2 linked regions of the Cricetulus griseus genome follow. The protein of the gene in region 1 binds, or shares a complex with, the protein of each later gene. Links are inferred from orthologs where the notes say so. Each region holds a gene or a part of one and is shown on either strand. Other genes may lie near its edges. The genes, in order: Gli1 and Sufu.

What was found.
Region 2: the proteins of Gli1 (region 1) and Sufu are in contact, whole or in part, in a crystal structure (PDB 4KMD), measured with the Homo sapiens proteins. The link is inferred for Cricetulus griseus from reciprocal best matches to the Homo sapiens genes GLI1 and SUFU. Residues at the interface, in NP_005260.1 of Homo sapiens: Gly119, Ser120, Tyr121, Gly122, His123, Leu124, Ser125, Ile126, Gly127; in NP_057253.2 of Homo sapiens: Leu144, Tyr147, Asn153, Thr154, Phe155, Gly158, Asp159, His160, Val161, Ser162, Trp163, His164, Gln212, Asn265, Leu266, Ser267, Gly268, Val269, Ser270, Ala271, Glu376, Leu380, Lys398.

Annotation. Positions count from the first base shown.
Region 1 is NW_023276806.1:130,393,860-130,403,406, forward strand, and holds the end of Gli1 (zinc finger protein GLI1), read left to right. Parts: intron 1-74; coding exon of another isoform or gene 75-140; intron 141-196; coding exon 197-289; intron 290-1,182; coding exon 1,183-1,378; intron 1,379-1,603; coding exon 1,604-1,748; intron 1,749-2,099; coding exon 2,100-2,192; intron 2,193-2,280; coding exon 2,281-2,412; intron 2,413-2,733; coding exon 2,734-2,883; intron 2,884-4,061; coding exon 4,062-4,226; intron 4,227-4,653; coding exon 4,654-4,884; intron 4,885-5,503; coding exon 5,504-5,771; intron 5,772-6,403; coding exon 6,404-8,148; 3' UTR 8,149-8,312; downstream 8,313-9,547. Other genes in the region: Arhgap9 (rho GTPase-activating protein 9), read right to left, coding at 8,774-8,945, 9,430-9,535. UniProt on the Homo sapiens protein: Acts as a transcriptional activator. Binds to the DNA consensus sequence 5'-GACCACCCA-3'. Regulates the transcription of specific genes during normal development.
Region 2 is NC_048596.1:15,196,667-15,206,662, forward strand, and holds the start of Sufu (suppressor of fused homolog), read right to left. Parts: upstream 5,389-9,996; 5' UTR 5,194-5,388; coding exon 5,012-5,193; intron 826-5,011; coding exon 691-825; intron 1-690. Other genes in the region: Actr1a (alpha-centractin), read left to right, coding at 6,807-6,854. UniProt on the Homo sapiens protein: Negative regulator in the hedgehog/smoothened signaling pathway. Down-regulates GLI1-mediated transactivation of target genes. Down-regulates GLI2-mediated transactivation of target genes. Part of a corepressor complex that acts on DNA-bound GLI1.

The sequences.
Region 1 (9,547 bases):
GAGGGCTTGGCGGATCTCTCACCTAGGATCCCTCTCAGCCTCATTCCTCCCCCACAATAGTTTCCTATCTACAGGAGGATTTGAGACCCCATGCCATGCATGCTTGGAGCTGGGGGTCATATCTCACGTGGGGTCTCAAGGTAAGCCCTGTGTGTCCCCATCCAAATGCCCCATTCCAGCTGTCTCTCTTTTCTAGGATTTTCTGGTTTGCCCTTTTGCCACCAAGCCAACTTTATATCAGGGTCCCAGGGTTATGGGTCTGCCAGAGAGACCAACGGCTGTTCTGAGGGTGAGGACTCAGGCGATCTCTGTCCCCTCTCTGCCCCTCTGGGACTTGTTCGGAAGGAGGAAGTGGGAAGGCAAGGACGAAGATCAATGGAAGAAGTGTCCAGAGATGACAGGGATCAGAGAGCCATCAAGAAGTCCTAGGTTGAGCAAGGCAAAAAAAATAAATAAATAAAAATTAAAAAATTAATTAATAATAAAATAAATAATTCTTTATTAATAATAAAATAAAAATTAAAAAATTAATTAATAATAAAATAAAAAAATTCTTGGTGGCACACGCCTTTAATCCCAGCACTCGGGAGGCAGAGGCAGGCGGATCTCTGTGAGTTCAAGGCCAGTCAGAGTGCCAGCATAGGCTCCAAAGCTACACAGGGAAACCCTGTCTCGAAAAACCAATAAATAAATAAATAAATAAATAAATAAATTTTTGAGTCAGGCCCCACATACTGAGTGCATGTACCTTTACTGCATCTTTCTTTTCTTTCTGAAAATTTTTAAAATTTATTATGTATATAGTGTTTTGCCTGCGTGTCTGCCTGCACACCAAAAGAGGGCACCAGATCTCATTACAGACAGTTGTGAGCCACCACGTGGTTGCTGGGAATTGAACTCAGGACCTCTGGAAGAGCAGCCAGTGTTCTTAACCTCTGAGCCATCTCTCCAGGCCCCTAAATTTTATTTTTTTAAATAATGTATGTGTTTGTGTCTGTGTGGGTTTGCACATGTGATTGCAAAGGTGCGGGGCATCCTTGGAGCTGGAGTTATAGGTGGTTGTGCTGGTGTGGGTGCTGGGAACCAAACTCAAGTCCTTTGGAAGAGCAGCTAGTGCTCTTAACCACTGAGCTGCCTCTCCAGCCCCCTTTGCTGTTTCTTGACTCCTATCTCCTGCCCTAGGGCCACTCTTTCCTCCTCCCCGGAGTTCAGTCAAATTGACAAAGAAGCGGGCACTGTCCATCTCACCTCTGTCCGATGCCAGCCTGGATCTACAGACTGTCATCCGTACCTCACCCAGCTCTCTTGTGGCTTTCATCAACTCACGCTGCACATCTCCAGGAGGCTCCTATGGCCATCTCTCCATTGGCACCATGAGGTGCTGGCACCTCAAACTAAGAGACCCCTAAAATATGTACTGAAACCCATTAGAAGACTCGGACCCTTCAAACCTCCAGCCCAACTTGAACCCCTAACCCTCCCAAAGGGGAACCCTTTTCAGAATCTCCCTGGGCTTACTCAACCAAGCCTTCCAGAAACCCACAAAATAGAGCAAGGATTCCGATGACTGATAGTCTTAAATAACAGCCTCCTCTTCATCTAGCCCATCTCTAGGATTCCCACCCCAGATGAGTCACCAAAAAGGGACTTCGCCTTCCTATGGAGTCCAGCCCTGTGTTCCACAAGACTCTACTCGGGGTGCAATGATGCTGCATCCTCAGTCCCGGAGACCACGTCAGACCTGCCAGGTGGGACTCTCCACATTGCCATCTTACTTGGCTTCCCCGACTCAGGATAGGTGGGTAGTAGACTTAGCAGCAGCGGGGCAGGTGAAGGAAGCCAGTACACATAAAAGCCTTTGGTACTGGGAAGGTAGAGGTATAGATGGCAGCCCCACCCCTTCCCTCAGCAGGGTTGACTCAGACTTTCTCAGATGAGAGCACACCTGTCCATCCCATTCGCCAGTGCGGGCTGTGGAGGAAGTCCTTCCACACTCACAGGAGTCCTGCTATTGGGTGGGGGCCCATAGGGCAGAAAAACCTGGCACGCTTTCCCTTCTGACTACTCCATCCTCACTACCCTCACCTCTTTCCCTGGAGAAGCTGAAGTCAGAGCTGGACATGCTGGTAGGCAAATGCCCAGAGGAGCCGTTGGAAGGGGACATGTCTAGCCCCAACTCCACAGGCACACAGGTAAGGGAAAGGGCAGGGTGCTCTCTGTGGGACCTGAGCAAAACAAAACTTGCCACCCATGACCCTAAGAGTGTGTCCTTTGCCCTAGGATCCCCTGCTTGGGATGCTTGATGGGCGGGAGGACCTGGAGGAGAAACCTGAGCCTGAATCTGTGTATGAGACTGACTGCCGCTGGGATGGCTGCAGCCAGGAGTTTGACTCCCAGGAGCAGCTGGTGCATGTGAGCCCCAGGGGATGACAGATGGTTGGTGGGAGCCTGTAGGAGACTGAGTGGGTCATTATGGTCTGCTCAAGGGCAGAGCAGGTGGTTCAAGGATCCTGGGGTCAGAGATGGCATGCTCAATCCTGCAACCCAAAGCTTGGAGTAGCTTTTCTATAGAAGGCTAAAAGACCCCAAGTGTGGGATATGCTGCCTTCCTGACCTTTAACTCCCCCAGGAGGCAGTGCTGAGGAGGATGAATGGGGGGCTGAACGAAAGGGATATGTCCCGGGTTTGGGTGGCATCGGGAACCCCAGAAAGCCTCGTCTTCTCCCTCCTCAGCATATCAACAGTGAACATATCCATGGGGAGCGGAAGGAGTTCGTGTGCCATTGGGGGGGCTGCTCCAGGGAGCTGAGACCCTTCAAAGCCCAGTACATGCTGGTGGTGCACATGCGTAGACACACGGGCGAGAAGCCGCACAAGTGCACGGTGAGGCACCCATCCCTCCCCATATTGGTGCCAAATCAAGGTAGGGTCCAAGGTAGACATTTGCCTTCAAAGTCCCTTCCTTCATAAGCAGATGTTTAAACATCTTGCTGAAGACTGTATTGATAGAAAGATGAGCACATTGATATCTATTAAAATGTTTTCAGTTACATTTTATGGGGTGGTGGAGTCTTGCATTCCAGGGTGTCTGTGTGGAGGTCAGAGGGCAATTTGCAGGACTTGGTTCTCTTCTTCCACCATGTGGGTCCTGGGGAATCAAACTCAGGTTGGCAGGCTTGGTGGCACACTCCTCTACTCACTGAGCCATCTTGCTGGCCCTAAAATATGTTCTTGGTATGGTGGTATATGCCTGTAACCCTAGCACTTGGAAAGCTGAGGCAAGAGGATCAAGCGTTTGAGGCCAGGTCTCAAAAGAAAAACAAAACAAACCAGGCCTAATGGCACATACCCTTAATCCTAGCACTTAGGCAGCAAAGGCAGGCAGATCTCTGTGAGTTCAAGGCCAGTATGGTCTACATGATGAGTTCCAGGCTAGTCAGGACTACACAATGACACTATCATCTCATAGATGAATAAATAGCAAACAAAAACAAAACAAAATTAAGTTTTGGATCAAACAAACTTTTTCCCTTTGATTTTAAAAGAAATGAAAATATGTGCTGGGCATGGTGGCACATGCCTTTAATCTCAGCCCTTGGGAGGCAGAGGAAAGCAGATCCCTGTGAGATGGAGGTCAGCCTGGTCTACTCTGGAGTGAGTTCCAGGATAGCCAGGGCTACACAGAGAAACCTTGTCTCAAAAAAACAAAATAATAACATAAATGAAAACATACTTATAAATCCCTTATGTGGGCCCCTTAGTACTCTTGCTACTACCTTGCCTGGTGGATAGGCCCTACGTCATTGCTCTAGGACACTCATGATTTCAATTTAGGACAGTCTGAACTCTATACAGGGGGACCTGCTCCAAGATGTTCCCTACTTAACAGCCATCCCCTACCCTGAGCGTTTCCACCTTTCTCTGCCCTTGTGCCCAACCAACTCCTGGGATTCTCTGGGGTTCCTGTGTCTCCCCATTTTTAGTTATATTCTCTGGTGTAAACCCTTAAATCTCTGTGTCCTGTCTGAGAAATGTTACTTGACTCCTTTCCTGTCCCCCAGTTTGAAGGTTGTCGGAAGTCATATTCCCGCCTTGAAAACCTTAAGACGCACCTTCGGTCACACACCGGTGAAAAGCCTTACATGTGTGAGCATGAAGGCTGCAGCAAGGCCTTCAGCAATGCCAGTGACCGCGCCAAGCACCAGAATCGGACGCACTCCAATGAGGTGAATGCCCAAACTATACTCTTCCCATTTGAGACGCTACCTTCTATGTGATTCCCCTGGTAAAGAGCTCCTTAACTCCAGTGGCAAGTTCCCCTACAATGTAATTTACACCAGGAACACTTGAGAGAAGTGCTGCTCTTTGGTCTAGCCAGCCAAAGGGTCAGTGTACAGTAGACCCCTGACCCTTCAACTTCTGAATTTATGTGATCTCACAGCCTTAGGGGGGAGGGTGTCACCTCTTTTTTCTTTAGCCCACACCATCTATTTTCTTAACTCTTCTGTAAGCCTCTCCTGATTTACTCTACCGGGGGCTCACAATACTCTTTCTTGCTCGAAGGCTGTGTGTCCTCCCTCACTTACCCCATTCTATTTGTGTTCTGCCCTTCGTCCCTTGACTTTCTGGCTCGGCAATGCTACTACTCGACAGAAGCCGTATGTATGCAAGCTGCCTGGCTGCACCAAGCGCTACACGGATCCCAGCTCACTCCGCAAACATGTCAAGACGGTGCATGGTCCTGATGCCCACGTGACCAAGAGGCATCGAGGGGACGGCCCTTTGCCACGGGCACCGTCCCTTTCCACGGTGGAGCCCAAGCGGGAAAGGGAAGGAGGGCCCATCAGGGAAGAGAGCAGATTGACTGTGCCCGAGGGTGCCATGGTGAGCCAGCCTAGGAAGTCTTGCCTCCATATCCCATCATGCCTTCCTTCCCCTCTTTCCAGCCTGTCCTAGAAGCATCCCCTTCTATATGCAGTCTTCTGCGGCCAGCCTGCCTGTCTCTAGTTTTAGTGTTGCTCCATGGCACAGACACCAGATCTAAGAATGCTGTTACAATTGTCAATTCTTTAATTGGTCGGACATATTCACTTTTTTTGGGGGGGGTGCTTCTGGGAATATGAACACATGCAAGCAAATTCTCCACCACTAAGCAAGTCCTCAGCCCCCCTATGGACTCGATCTTAAGTAGCACTTAACTATGTAGTTCCAAGCCTTAGGTGCACATATTTCATGTTTTCTTCAAAAGAGCAAACAGGCAAAGATAAGTTGTCAGGGTCAGGGTCATAGAACTAAGGGGGAATGGAGCCCTGGGTCTCTTTACTGCAGCAGGGGCCCATCCCATTTTCTTCCAGCTCACCCTAACCTCCCGCCTGCTCAGTCCTCTCTACCCTTGCATGACTGCCCTCAGCTCTTGCAAACCACTGGGACACAGGCTTCCGCCACTCCCCAAGGGGAAGTGGTAGGGGGTGGGTACCACCCTCTGCTCTCAACCTTCTCACAGAAACCACAGCAGAGCCCCGGAGCACAGTCCTCCTGCAGCAGTGACCACTCCCCAGCAGGCAGTGCAGCCAATACCGACAGCGGTGTGGAGATGACTGGCAACGCAGGGGGCAGCACTGAGGACCTGTCCAGCTTGGATGAAGGACCTTGTGTTGCTGGCACTGGACTTTCCACACTTCACCGCCTGGAGAACCTCAGGCTGGATCAGCTGCATCAGCTCCGGCCATTAGGGTCCCGGGGTCTCAAACTGCCCAGTTTAACCCATGCTGGTGAGACCTGGGTGTGGGAGGTGTTGCTGAGCTGAGCTGTGGACCTGTCCTGAAGCTGAAGTGATAAGGTCACCCTTTGAGTTGCCACATGGCATCTTTTTATCATCTGAAAAATATTCCCCCTTCCTTGAAGATACTTTTCCTTCCATTGACCAGAGAATTATAATATATATCTAGGCATGGTGGTTGTGCACCTGTAGTTCCACCACTATGGAGACCGGGGCAGCAAGAGTGTTCAAGGCCGCCGGGTGTTGGTGGTGCACGCCTTTAATCCCAGCCCTCGGGAGGCAGGCGGATCTCTGTGTTCGAGGCCAGGCTGGTCTCCAGAGCAAGTGACAGTATAGGCTCCAAAGCTACACAGAGAAACCCTGTCTTGAAAAACCAAAAAAAAAAAAAAAAAAAAAAAAAAAAGTGTTCAATGCATCTGTGGTACATTATCTCTATAACTGCAGCCGTGTACAAGATAATAACTGCCCGGAATCCTTGCTGAAAGGAGACAAACAGCATGGTTAGGGCGAAGAAGCCTAGGACTCTTTTACCTTGGGGCTCCAGGTCAAGGCTAACCTGTGGGATAGGCAGGGTGGGAACCACAGGGGTTCCCTACCACCTGCCTTTTCTCTTGTCATTTGCAGGCACACCGGTGTCTCGCCGGCTGGGTCCCCCGGGCTCCCTCGACCACCGCAGCAGCAGTTCTAGCAGCATCAGTTCCGCTTACACGGTCAGCCGCCGCTCCTCCCTGGCCTCCCCTTTCCCACCTGGATCCCCACCAGAGAATGGGGTGTCCTCCCTACCTGGCCTCACGCCTGCCCAGCACTACATGCTCCGTGCCAGATACGCTTCAGCCAGGGGGAGTGGTACCCCACCCACTGCGGCACACAGCCTGGATCGGATGGGGCATCTTCCTGTACCTTCTTGGAGAAGCCGAGCTGAGTACCCAGGATACAACCCCAATGCAGGGGTCACCCGGAGGGCCAGTGACCCAGCCGGGGCTGCTGACCACCCAGCTCCAGCCAGAGTCCAGCGGTTTAAGAGCTTGGGATGTGTCCACACGCCCCCTAGCGCGGCAACGGGAAGGAACTTCGACCCCCACCTTCCTACCTCTGTCTATTCACCACAGCCTCCCAGTATCACTGAGAATGTTGCTATGGACACTAGAGGGCTTCAGGAGGAGCCAGAGGTTGGGGCGTCTGTGATGGGCAATGGTCTGAACCAGTACATGGGTTTTCCATCTGCTGACTCGCTGGGATACGGGGGACCTGAGGGAGCGGCGGCTGAGCCCTATGAGGCTAGGGGTCCCGGGTCCCTGGCTCTTGGGCCTGGTCCACTGACCAGCTATGGCCCTAGCCACTGTCCCCAGCAGGTCTCCTATCCTGATCCTACCCCAGAAACATGGAGTGAGTTTCCTTCCCATTCTGGGATGTATCCTGGCACTAAGGCTCCAACTGGAGCCTATATCCAGTGTCCTCGACTTGAACATTATGGACAAGTGCAGGTAAAACCAGAACAAGGGTGCCTGGTGGGGTCTAACTCCACCGGACTGGCACCCTGCCTCAATGCCCACCCCACAGAGGGGTCCCCAGGCCCGCAACCTTCATTTTCCCATTACTCCCAACCCCCTCCTCCCCAGTATCCCCAGTCAGGTCCCTACCCTCGGCCTCCCCATGATTATCTCCCGTCAGAACACAGGCCTGGCCTTGATTTTGACTCCCCTTCTCATTCTGAAGGACAGCTCAAAGCTCAGCTTGTGTGTAATTACGTTCAGTCGCAGCAGGAGTTGCTGTGGGAGGGCAAGGGCCGGGGAGGGCTCCCCAACCAGGAACTTCCATATCAGAGCTCCAAGTTTCTGGGGGGTTCCCAAGCTAATCAGAGCCCTGTCAAGGGTCCAGCAGCTGCCTACGGATCTGGCTTTGCACCTGCTCTGGCCAGTCACAAGCCCGGCTCCTTTCCGGCCCCTTCGCCATGCCATGAGACTTTTACAGTGGGTATAAACAGGCCTTCCCATAGGCCAGCAGCAGTGCCACCCAGGCTTCTGCCCCCATTGCCTTCTTGCTATGGACCTCTCAAGGTAGGGGGCGCCAACCCCAGCTGTGGCCATCCTGAAGTGGGCAGATTGGGAGCAGGCCCTGCCTTGTACCCTCCCCCTGAAGGGCAGGTGTCCAACCCTCTGGATTCTCTTGACCTGGACAGCACTCAGCTGGACTTCGTGGCTATTCTGGATGAGGCCCAGGGGTTGAGTCCTCCTCCTTCCCACGAGCAAGGGGACAGCTCTAAAAATACCCCACCTCCCTCTGGGACCCCCAACATGGCAGTGGGTAACATGAGTGTCTTACTGGGGTCTCTGCCGGGAGAGACACAATTCCTCAACTCTAGTACCTAAAAGGATAAGGAGTCCCAACCGGATCATGTTTCCTAGACGGCCACATGAGGTGCCCGGGAATGGGAGGATTGGGCTGGGGAACTCTATTTAGTCTATGTATGTTCCAGGAGAAAACTTTAATAATAATGACAGTTTCCTGACAATAAAGGAATGCTGAGAACAAGTACCTTATGGGTCATCTTGGGGAGAGTGGACATGGGGCTCACGTGCCTTCCTCTCCAGAAAACTCCCACGGCTCAGACAGGACTCGGGAAGTGGGAGAGTGTCCTTTGGGAGAGGGCTTACAAGATGTCTTCAAAGCAGAAGACCTGCCATCCCTCTCCGAAGACCAGATGACAGATGGCAGGAGATGTCCTTTTCCTCATCCTTGCCTGCCCGGGTCAGGTGAAGAGGCTATGGAAGTCTCCGAAGGAAGACCAGCTGACAGATCGAGGGAGATGTCCTGTCCCTCACCCATGCCTGGGTCAGGTGAAGAGGTTTCCAAGTCTCTGAAGACTGGCTGACAGATAGAGGGGGGTGTCCTTTCCCTTGCTCTCACCCGCCCTGGTCAGGGGAAGAGGCTGTCGAAGTCTCTGAAGACTGTCTAACAGATGGGAGGAGATGTCCTCGCCCTCGCCCACCCCGGTCAGGGGAAGAGGCTGTCAAAGTTGTTAAGCATCAGCTGGATCAGCTGCCCGGGGTAGAACACGTGGGCTGTCATGTCAGAGGTCTCCTGCTCTGGGCGGAACAGCGTTGGTCCAAACACAATTCCCAGGTTGTGGGCGGTCATTCGGTTCTCATCTGAGTGTGCGATCACCCTGAGGACAAAGCCAAGGAACGGGAAATGGGCAGTAGCTACTACCCACTACAAACCAGTTCAGCCCCATTAGGTATGGGCAGGGCAGGGATCGCTCTGGGATCCCTCCACATGCTGACTGAAGGAACAAGTACAGACCTAAAGAGGAGCAGAGATGGGCCAGGAGAGAGCTTCAGGACACAAGCTGGAGGCACAGGTCAGGTAGAACTGCTAGGTTCTCAGTTCCAGGGACAACCCCAGAATCCTCTCTGCTCACAACCTGAGAGGCTTTCGTTCAACTAAATAAGTCACCCTGCCCCAGTGGGAGACTAAAGCCAGGGAAGGAAGAGAGAATTCCCGTGTTTCTCTCATAGTATCCCCGGTCTTATCGTGTACTTGGGCACATGTCAGTGTGCCCCTATCTCCACGCTCTCTGATCAGACAGAGCCCCCACTGAAGGCCCACTCCACCTTCCCCAGCATGAACAAGGCCGTTCAGTTCCTGACCTGCATAAATGCTCCAGAATGTACTGCAGTGTGTCACGGTTGGGCTTCGGCAACAAGTCCACTAACTTTTTCATTTCAGAGAGACACTGATCTGGCTCAGAAAGTTCTAGAGAGAGCA
Region 2 (9,996 bases), on another chromosome or scaffold:
AATATATATATATAATATATATATGAAAATATAATATATATATATATTAATTCTCAAATATATATTTTAGAATTAAGACATATACTAGGTGATTATAAAGAGAAATCAGTGAAAGAGTAAGAAATTTTTTAAATTATTCTATTATTTTAAGTGTACGGTTGTTTTGGCTGCATGTTTGTCTGTGTATCCATTATGCGCCTGTTGCCTACAGAGGCCAGAAGAAGATACTGAATCTGCTAGAATTGGAGTTAAGACAGTTGTGAGCTGTCCTGTGAGTGCTGGGAATTGAACCTGGGTCCTCTGAAGAGCAGCCAGTGCTCTTAACCACTTGAGCTATGGCTGAGCCATCTCTCTAGCCTCAAAAAGGGTAAGGAATAGAAGCAGATCAGTGCTAAAAATGAAGTGGACAATGCTAGCACAGATGAATGCAAGTTTGCTGCACATATCTACAACCCCTGCCACGCAGGAGGCTCAAGTGCGAGGATGGAGAATTTCAAGAGCAACCTAAGCCATCTACAAGCACAAGTTCAATACCAGCTAGGTCTACATAGCACAAGCAGAAAGTACAAACAGAGAGGTAACACTGGGAAGTGTCACCTAGTAGAACTAACATGTCCACAGAACATCACACATGTTCAATAAAGCCAAAGAAATGGACTTATCAAGGAAAGACAGGTGGCATACACTCACTCATGGACTCTGCTGTCACCATAGAGGTCGCTCAGGCCAAAGCTGATGTAGTGCCAGTGCTCGGGGATGTTGGCAGAAGGACTCCCCATATTCCTGTACATGCTAACATAATCCAATGGGTCTGGACCACCCAACCTGCAAAAGACAAAATATAAGGTGTCAATTTAAACCTGGATACCAGAAAATGTCAAGTAAGAGGCTCTGCTCTACAAACCCAAAAGCCCCATCCTAGAAGGACCTAAAGCAAAAGATAACTAAAGGGCAGCAAAAATCTCTTTAGCAACGAGCCACGGGTGAAGCAGCTGAGGCTATTGACGCCTCATGACCAAGAAGCCCCCTTCTCTGCCCTCTGAAGCACACTTGCTGGTTGCACGCCTTGCTCTCTCCTGTTTCAAGTTGCTGACTCCAGCTGGAGTCTTCTATGGGGCCTGACAACATGCCAGGCTTCAAGGTAAGAGGTGCATCAGCTAAGCAGTGGCTGCGGCTTCTGCTGAATGACTATACAGAGCATGCCCAATGGACGTCATTCCTGGCAGTACAGGTATCAGTCTACGCCTGTCTCTTAGACAGCTAGTTCCTGAAAGCCTGGATTGTGCCTCTATTATTGTTTCTTCTAAATACACACAAAGCCTCTGGTCTGCACAGATCAAAGCTCATTCACTGAGAGTGACAAAGTCCAAACATCAGCTAGCCCAGCTCTACGCGGAGCACTGAAGCAATGAACCAGGCTGACCCTGTGAGCACCTGCGTGCTAAGGAGCATCCGAGTCATTTGTCTCAAAGAAGAGCTGGGACAATTCACAATTTGATGCTCCCAAGGCTCACATTAAATTTCCCCATAAATCCAACAGAGAAGCAGTTGAAGAAGATATTCAGTCATTACCTCACTAGAGATTTAATTCAATAAAAGTTCTTTTAGTAATTAGTGCTTAAGCAAAACAAAACAAGCAACAAACAAAACTGTTTTCCTTAAGAATGGACAGGAAAGCATAGTAGACTTGAGAAGCACACTAAATGGAAACCATCAGCAGAACAAAGTGTGTACTGAGCCCATGAACTCCACATGTGAGCAACCACAGACTGTACTCCACAGACTGTAGAATCTTTGCCTGGCCCTGGACCATAGGCAGGAGTACACTTTGCATGTGGGCTACACTACTGAGGGACCGCTAACAACCAAATAAAAGACATGGTACAGGAGATCCCAGCAAGCGTGCCAGGACCATGCAATTCAAATCCTATTTTAAAACCAGTAAGTCTGGTTTCATCCTCTTTGCCAGGATGTTATTAGCCTTTGCAGAAATCCTTATTCTCTGGGGAAAAAGAAAAGAAAAGGCTAAGTTATTTATAGAACTCATAAGAAAGAAAGTCACTACAAATAATTTAGCTCTCACCTGAGTGAGTTAGGTAAAAGGCCAAGTCTCTATGCCTGCCTTTTGTTTGTTTTTTGTTTTGCAAGACAGGGTTTTCCTGTGTAGCCTGGCTGTCCTGGAACTATCTCTGTAGTTCAGGCTGACCTGGAACTCACAGAGATCCCCCTCTGCCTCTAAAGTGTTGGGATTAAAGGTGTGCATGCACCATCACCAAATCACTTGACTAAATCCATAACCAGTTGTATTTAGAAACATTTTGGGGAAGGACAGAAGAAAGAAAAGGACCCCATTATGACTGCAGAACCCTAAAAAATACAGGCTCCATATTCCCTCCAACTTCCTATTGCAAATCCCCAAGAGCCTTTGCTGCAGCCTCAGTCCATTGAGCAACAAGCAGTGACACTGTGCTCCACGTCCTGCTCCACCTGCCAGCACACTATAGCTCCTTCAGACAGTCTCCCAGGAGAGGGCATATCAAGAAGAGGCCTTAAGAGGAGTCAGGGAATGGCAAGAACCAAACAGCCTCATACCCAAGCTCAGAGAGTGCTGTTCTATCATCCACACTCAGATAAATGTTGAAAATCATGCTTGACACTTAGGGAAAGATGTGCTCTAATGGCCTAAAGCACCCCTAACCCTGAATTCCCTAGAGAACAGCTGCAGGACTAGAGTGGACCCAGAGCGCCAGGCTCTGCCTACCTGCTTTGATCCTGGACTTGTTTTCGAAAAGTCTCAAGTATTAGTTGGAGTACCCCTGCCAGCCAGGGACCACTAGCTAAAAAGCCACCCCTCAAATCCAAAAGAAGTCCTATAGCCAGACTCAAGCAGTTTAGTACCCTGCTATGAGAACTGAAGGGGCTGGTAAGACTCTAAAGGTAAGGTTATGAATAAACTTCGGTATCTCAATTCTGCAAATCCCCCTGAGTCTCAGAAAAAAAAAAACAAAACAGTCCCTAAGTTGTTTCCTCCTATATTCCCGCATCTAGGTGGCCTTTCTTATTTCACAAAATGCTGTACATGCCTTCCCAGTTGTTACCACATGCTGGTCTACCTCTGAGGACACAGCCTCACTACAAGCTTGTGGTAGAAAGAAGGAAGAAAGGAAGGAAGAAGGAAGGAAGGAAGGAAGGAAGGAAAGAAAAGAAAAGAAAAGAAAAGAAAAGAAAAGAAAAGAAAAGAATGCTGTAACTACTTTGGTCCTTTGTATAATGCTTCCATACCTTGACCACACAACTCTCATGACAGCCATGTAGGTAACAAAGCCAGTTGCCCTATTCTTTGAGGGACTTCCCCTCACACTTAAACAAGATCAGAGCAAACACACACCATGGAAAGGCCAGCCTCATTTCTCTCATAACATGGGACAAGTTCACAACATAGTTAAATATAAAGGTGCAATTAAAATGATTAAGTTAGCAAGAGCTACTACTGGTTGGATTTGTGCATGCCTTTAATCCCAGCACTCCAGAGACAGAGACAGGGGAATCTCTGTGCTTTCCAGGTCAGCCTGGTCTATAAAACGAGTCTGGGACAGCCAGAGTTACATAGTGAGACTCTGCCTCAAAAAACAAACAAACAAACAAGGTTACCAAGAGCTGTTTTCCACTCATGCTGTTTTCCGCCTGTGAACAGCATGCCTGCCACAGATGCACTCCTGGCTACCAGAACAGAGGCTGGTCCCCAGGCCCTCCAGGCTGTCAGTTTTCTTTGCATCATCCTCTCACCGACACAGGGAGTTAATCTCATCCCTGTACAGCCTAACTGCCTTCCCCAGAGGCCGCAAGGGGTGTTGCATAGGAAAAGGACAGCCTTAAAAGGGGTGTAAACCAGCAACAGCATCCACTTTCCCCCTTCAGGTCCACCTTTTGCCAGTACCCCAAGCAGTTGCCCCGGGAGTCTTCCAAGATCCACTGAAAGGGATCATCTAATACATTGAGTTCCTGCATGAATGCGGCCATCTCTTAGTCTATTTTTGGTCCAGAAAGACAATGAGAACTCGTCCCCATAACACCTGTTGCAAACAAGAACGGGAAATCAGAAAGGGTAGTTTCTTCCCGAAGAACAGCCCATTTGGAAACTAATCCTTTACTGAGCAACTTTAAACTTATCCTGGGCTTCCCAGGAGAAACTTCGGCTGAAATCCTGAAGACATGACAGGAGGCGCGTCTTCAGGCTGCCCCTGACCACGACTAAGGTCTCCTCCATGCAGTTCCCATGCAGTATCCCCTTCAATCCCGAGCCAAAGCACGGCTCACTGAGCCTGTTCTTCACTAAAGTCCTAAAGCAAAAGCAGCTGCAACGCCAGAAGCAAGCTCTGCAGAGAGAGAACTGTGCAGAGTAAGCAAAAAGTTTATCTGGAAGAGTGGCTCTGTCAAACTTCAAGAGCAACAGCTTCGTACTGAATGACAGAAGCTCCAGCGCTCGGGAAGGTCCCGAAAGAAGGTCTCCTCCTCAACTCTTCACTCATCAAAGGCACAATGCCCTCATCTTCCTCCCTCCTAGCCCACAGGGGCTTCCTGGTCCCCAGACCGCCCTGGACTACGCGGTCTCGCGCCCTCCAAAGCACTCTCAAATGCTCTCCAGGCCCCGCCTCACCTCCCCCATCCCACTCCAGCCGCCCCCTGGCTTCCCCAAGCCCACCAATGACCCACCCCAGGCGCCCCTCCTTTCTCCACGTTTACAGTTCGCTCTCACACGTCCCCCCTCCGCCCCTGCTCACACCCCCGGCTCCCAGTCCCCCCAGTCCCGGTTAACCCCTCACTACTCAGAGGGTCCGTTAACCCTTTGTCCCCACTCCCAACTTCTGTCTTAACTCCGTCCCCAGCATCAGGAAGCTCCCGGCTCCCAAGTCCTTTAACCGTTTTCTTCCTCCCGCTGCTGCAAACTACTTCGTGCCCGGCGCTCGAAGCCGTCCCGGCGGCCCCGGTCCCCCCGAGGCCCAGGGCATACCAGTACTTGACGATAGCGGTGACCTGGAGCGGGTTCGGCTGGTCGGGGTAAAGGCGGCGGCACTCTCCGTAGATGGCGTGCAGTCCCGGGGGAAAGAGTGAGGCGAAGGCCGGAGAGGCACTAGGGCCAGGGGCCGGGGGCGCGGCGGGGCCGGGGGCGACGCTAGGCCGCAGCTCCGCCATCGGGGCGCGTAGGGCGCGCGGGGAACCCGGGAGGGTAGAAGAGGGGAGGCGCCCCGATGGGCCAGCGGACCCACAGTGGACGAGACTCCCCGAGGCGATGGGGGCTACGGCGAGGTCTAACTCCGCGCCTGCGCACGGTGCTCCGTCCGCCCAAGCCCTAGCCTTCGCAGAGTCGGCCAGAGGGTGCTGCGGGACCGCGGGGAGCTCCAGGGGGCGGGGCGTCGGTGTGCCCTTGGCTGCCGCCCATTGGTTAGTGCCGTTGCCAGTCACAAATGGAGAGGCGTGACTTGACAATAGGCCCCGCCTCCCTGCCTCTGTGTTGGGAGCGTCCCAAGGATCTCGGCCTCCCCCTAGTGTTAGGAGGAACCCAGTTTGAAACAGACGCGGAACCTGGAGGTGCCAGGAGTGGTGAAAGCGCTAAGAAGCTCCTAGCTAGTACTGTTTTCCTGATACGCGATTTTAAGATAAGCCTGACAACTGACCAACTCATTCGTTTGTGTGTCTTTATTAATATGTTACAACTCTTTAATATATCTCGGTGCCGATGACTCAAAGAAACTTGAAGAGGCAGGGAAATAAATACTCCAGGGGAAAGCATTTACGCATACTTTCTCTTTGCCTGAATATTCTCACCTATCAAGTTGTTTTTGTTTGTTGTTGTTTTTTTTTTTTTTTTGGTTTTTCGAGACAGGGTTTTTCTGTGGCTTTGGAGGCTGTCCTGGAACTAGCTCTTGTAGACCAGGCTGGTCTCGAACTCACAGAGATCCGCCTGCCTCTGCCCCCCCCCCCCAGGGCTGGGGTTAAAGGCATGTGCCACCAATGTCCGGCTCCATCAAGGTTTTAAGCTCAAGAAAAGATACTAAAGCAGTCTCTAAACCTGTAGATAATATTTTAGACCAGTATTCTATTGCATCCAACTACAGGTATTTTTTTGATAACCTTTGTTTTGCTTCATGGGTTTTTTGTTTTGTTTTTTCGAGACAAGGTTTTTCTGTGTAGTCCCGGTTGTCCTGGAAACTCTGCAGACCAAACTGGCCTCGAACTCAGAGATCCGCCTGCCTCTGCCTCCAGGGTGCGCCACTAGCTACGGGCACTGCTGCGCTTCTTATACGTGCTGGGAAAGCATTCTGCCCTTGAGCGACATTTCAGTGCCAGAAATGTTTATTAATGGTTTACATTGCCCAAGTGCAGGAATGGCTGAGTGGTGAGATGAATAGGTAAAACTCAACAGCCCCTGAACTACTGTCAAACCTAACCTCAACTAAGTACAAGTACTCCAGACTCTGGAATTTAAAGGAAAAGCTTCGAAGGGACTACAAATCCAGGCATGCACCATAATGAACACCTGTGGCGCTTGACTCTACCGAGACTACAAACCCCATCGCACCCTTCATCGGAAACACAATCCAGTTTTCTAAACCCGGCGGGACTCGGGCTCTGCCTGGAGCGCCAGCCCTGGGGCAAAGGATGCTGGGGATTGTAGTTCTTCGGAGACGAGGTCGGGCCGCTCCCTGGACGGCCAGTACCGGCGACTAGACTGCGCATGCGCGTCAGTGGCGTTTGCAGCGGACCGGGCTGGCAGTTCCTTCCTCGGAAGGAAAGATTCCTCTGCCATGGAGTCCTACGATGTGATCGCCAACCAGCCTGTCGTGATCGACAACGTGAGTAGCGCCTTTCCTATCTCTAGAGAGACTGCGCTGCCCTCCAGAAAGGGTCGCTTCCGAGGTTTCAGCCTAGGCCGCCTGCTCTTTGTCACTGGCCCGGCCTGTCAGGCGGGTCCAGCCGCCGCCGCCCCCGTCCTCCCCACAGCCACAGTTTGCAGGCAGGGCGGCCAGCAGCACTCGTGTGATGGAGAGCTTGGGCGTAAACAAAGGGAAGAGCTGTAGCCCGAGAAGGGTCCTTGGACCCTCGGCTCAAGGGGCCTTAACCGTTCTGAGACCCTAGCACCCGCCTTCTCCCTGGCTTCTCGTCACCCAATTGGCTGCTCTCGCTGTCTATCTCAGCCTGTTGGTCCCGCCTTTGGGCCTGGCCGGATTAGACCAGCAGTGTGCGGTAATTGGCTGGCGAGCCTGTCGCTTCCTTTCTGGGAGGGGTGGGGCGGTGCGCTGGGGCGGCGGGGATTGGCTTGGCGCACTCCGGGAGCGGAAGGCGACGGCTGGTCCAGCGGTGAAGGTGGGGTGTGAGCCGGCTGGGCCGCATAGGAAACTGAATCAGGGTGGGGCCGCATAATGCGGTGCCAGAAATGCCTATGGGATTCCAGTTATTTTTGTGATTAGGAATTCTCGTTAGCAGCGGTAAACAAAGAAGGAGAGTGACAAAGCAGGCCAGGTGCCCTCCTCTCGGCCGTGCCCGGCTGAGAGGCCGGGAGGTGACCAGACGCGTGAGCGTCTGTCAGGTACGCTAGCGTTTCCAGGGCGCTCTCGCCAGCCTGTCAGTTGAAGCCAACCTCACAGAAAGTGAACGGTTAAGAAGGAAGTTTGCGTCTCCTTTCACAGAACGAACACCGAAGATGGAAGTGACCAAGGTCATATTCCGCAGCGGTGCCCTGTATAAGTTCATCGCCTTATCTAAATGTCATCCCTTTGCTAACCACCCCTCCACGAACGCATCGATAATGATGAATAGAAAGAGCCTAAGGATTGCCTTTATGAGGCGGGGCAGTATGTCTAAGGTTTCTATGCTTCACCCAAAGTTTTGGTCCTGTGCTCTTTCAGCATCCCTCCTTTGAGAAACCGCTGTGGAGTAACCCCTCTGTCCTAGGCCGACCTTATCGGAGTAACTGTGATGTTCAGCCCTTCTCACCTGGGCGTGCCGCTAGGTTCTTTTATTTGCATAGTAGGTAGATGGAGATTGCTTTCCCAGTTTATGCAGGAACGTGAGACTCGGGAAGGTTTTTCAGACGGCCCCGTTAGGAGTTGAAGATCCAAGACTAACAATGAAATCATCTAGTTCCAAGTTCTTCAATCTTTCAAGGAAGGCTGTCTTATTTGTTGTAAACTGCCTTTTTAAAAGGTGAGGCTGAGCCTGGCAGTGGTGGCGCACACCTTTGATCCCCCAGCACTCTGGAGGCAGAGGCAGGTGGAACTGTTTTAGTTCAAGGTCAGCTTGGTCTACAGAGCTAGTTCCAGGACAGCCAGGACTGTTATATAGAGAAACCTTGTTTTGTTTTGGAAAACAAAAAACAAAGTGAAGCTGAGACTCGGCGGGGAGGGGGGGGGTATGTCACCCGGCTGGTAGCATTGTCTGACATTTGTGAAATCCTGGGCTCCATCCCCAGACAGCATAGACCTGGTATAGAAGTCAGATGTGGGGCTGGAGAGATGGCTCAGAGGTTAAGAGTACTCGCTGCTCTTACAGAGGTCAATTCCAGCAACCACATGGTGGCTCACAGCCTTCTGTAATGCAACCTGGTACCCTCTTCTGGCCTGGGCAGAACATTATACATAATAAATATAAATAAATAAATATTTAAAAAAAGAAGTCAGATGTGGTCCATGCCTGTAATCCCAGCACTTGGAGACAGGAAAATCAGAAATTCAAGGTCATTGTTTGAAGCCAGCCTCTAAGACCCTGTTTGTTTGTTTGGGATAGTAGGTTAAGCAAAGTTAAATGAGACACCTTGTTTTGAAGTATTAGTTTTTGTCTTCACTTAGACTAGACAGACTTTTTAAATCATGTGGGGAGAGTGAGATCCTTCATTTTTCATCCCACAATGTCTCTCTCCCCTCCCCTCCCTCCATCTCTATCTTGTGTGTGTGGTGTGTGGTGTGTGTGTGTGTCTGTCTGTGTGTGTCCAGATGTGTCTCTTGTGCATGACCACACACGTGCATGTGAGAGAGCTGGTGCCTTTGGAGGCCAGAAGAGGGCTTAAATTTTGTAGAACTAGCGGCCGCAGGCAGTTATGAACTATCCAACATGAATGGGGTGCAGGGAAGGATGCAAACTCTGGATCTATCCCAGTGTGGCAGCTGGTGCTCTTTAACTACTGGGCCATCTCTCCAGCTCACCACTACTCCTCTTCCACCCGACTCTACAAGGCATTGAGAGCCCGGTACCACTATGCACACAATAAAGCCTTTTCATTGGCTAGGTGAGTGGATAGGTGAATAACTAATGATCTCTATCATGGTAACAGAAAATGGCCAGGGGGAAGGGAGACCCAATCAAGGTGAGGGGTTTCAGATATGTTTGTAATTCTGCAAATGATAGAGTGATACTTCTTTCTTTAGTTTGTTTGAGACGGGGTCTCAAGACACTTCTTGTTCTCAGTGTTGATATCCAGAGAGCATGACTACTTATGTCTTTAGCTACCTGTGTTTTGGAGCTACCTCTTTCTTAGTCATTAAAAAATGCAGAGAAGTGCCAAGTCTCAGACTGGAGAAATGACTCAGCAGTTACGAGCACTTGGTCCTCTTGTAGAGGGCCAGAGCTCCGTTCCTAGTACCCATGTAGGCAGCTGACAACCTGAAACTAGAACGCCAGAGGGTCAGATGCTCTCTTTGGTCTGAGGGTACTTGCACTTCACCTGCACAGACACACATACAAGACATGTGCATATACACATAATTATTTTTTAAAAGAATTGTCAGCTTTTGTTTTGGCATTAGCAGTGCAAGAAGCATCGGTTCACCCCACCATCCCCTTTTCCTTGGATCCCTCAGGGGAGTTGAAGTTACAGGTGGTTGCGAATCACTCAGTATGGATTCTGGGAACCAGACTCCAGTCCTTTGGGAGAACATCGATTGCTCTTAACTGATGAGCTATCTCTTTGGCCCCCTTACTTCTTTTTTGTTTTTTGAGATC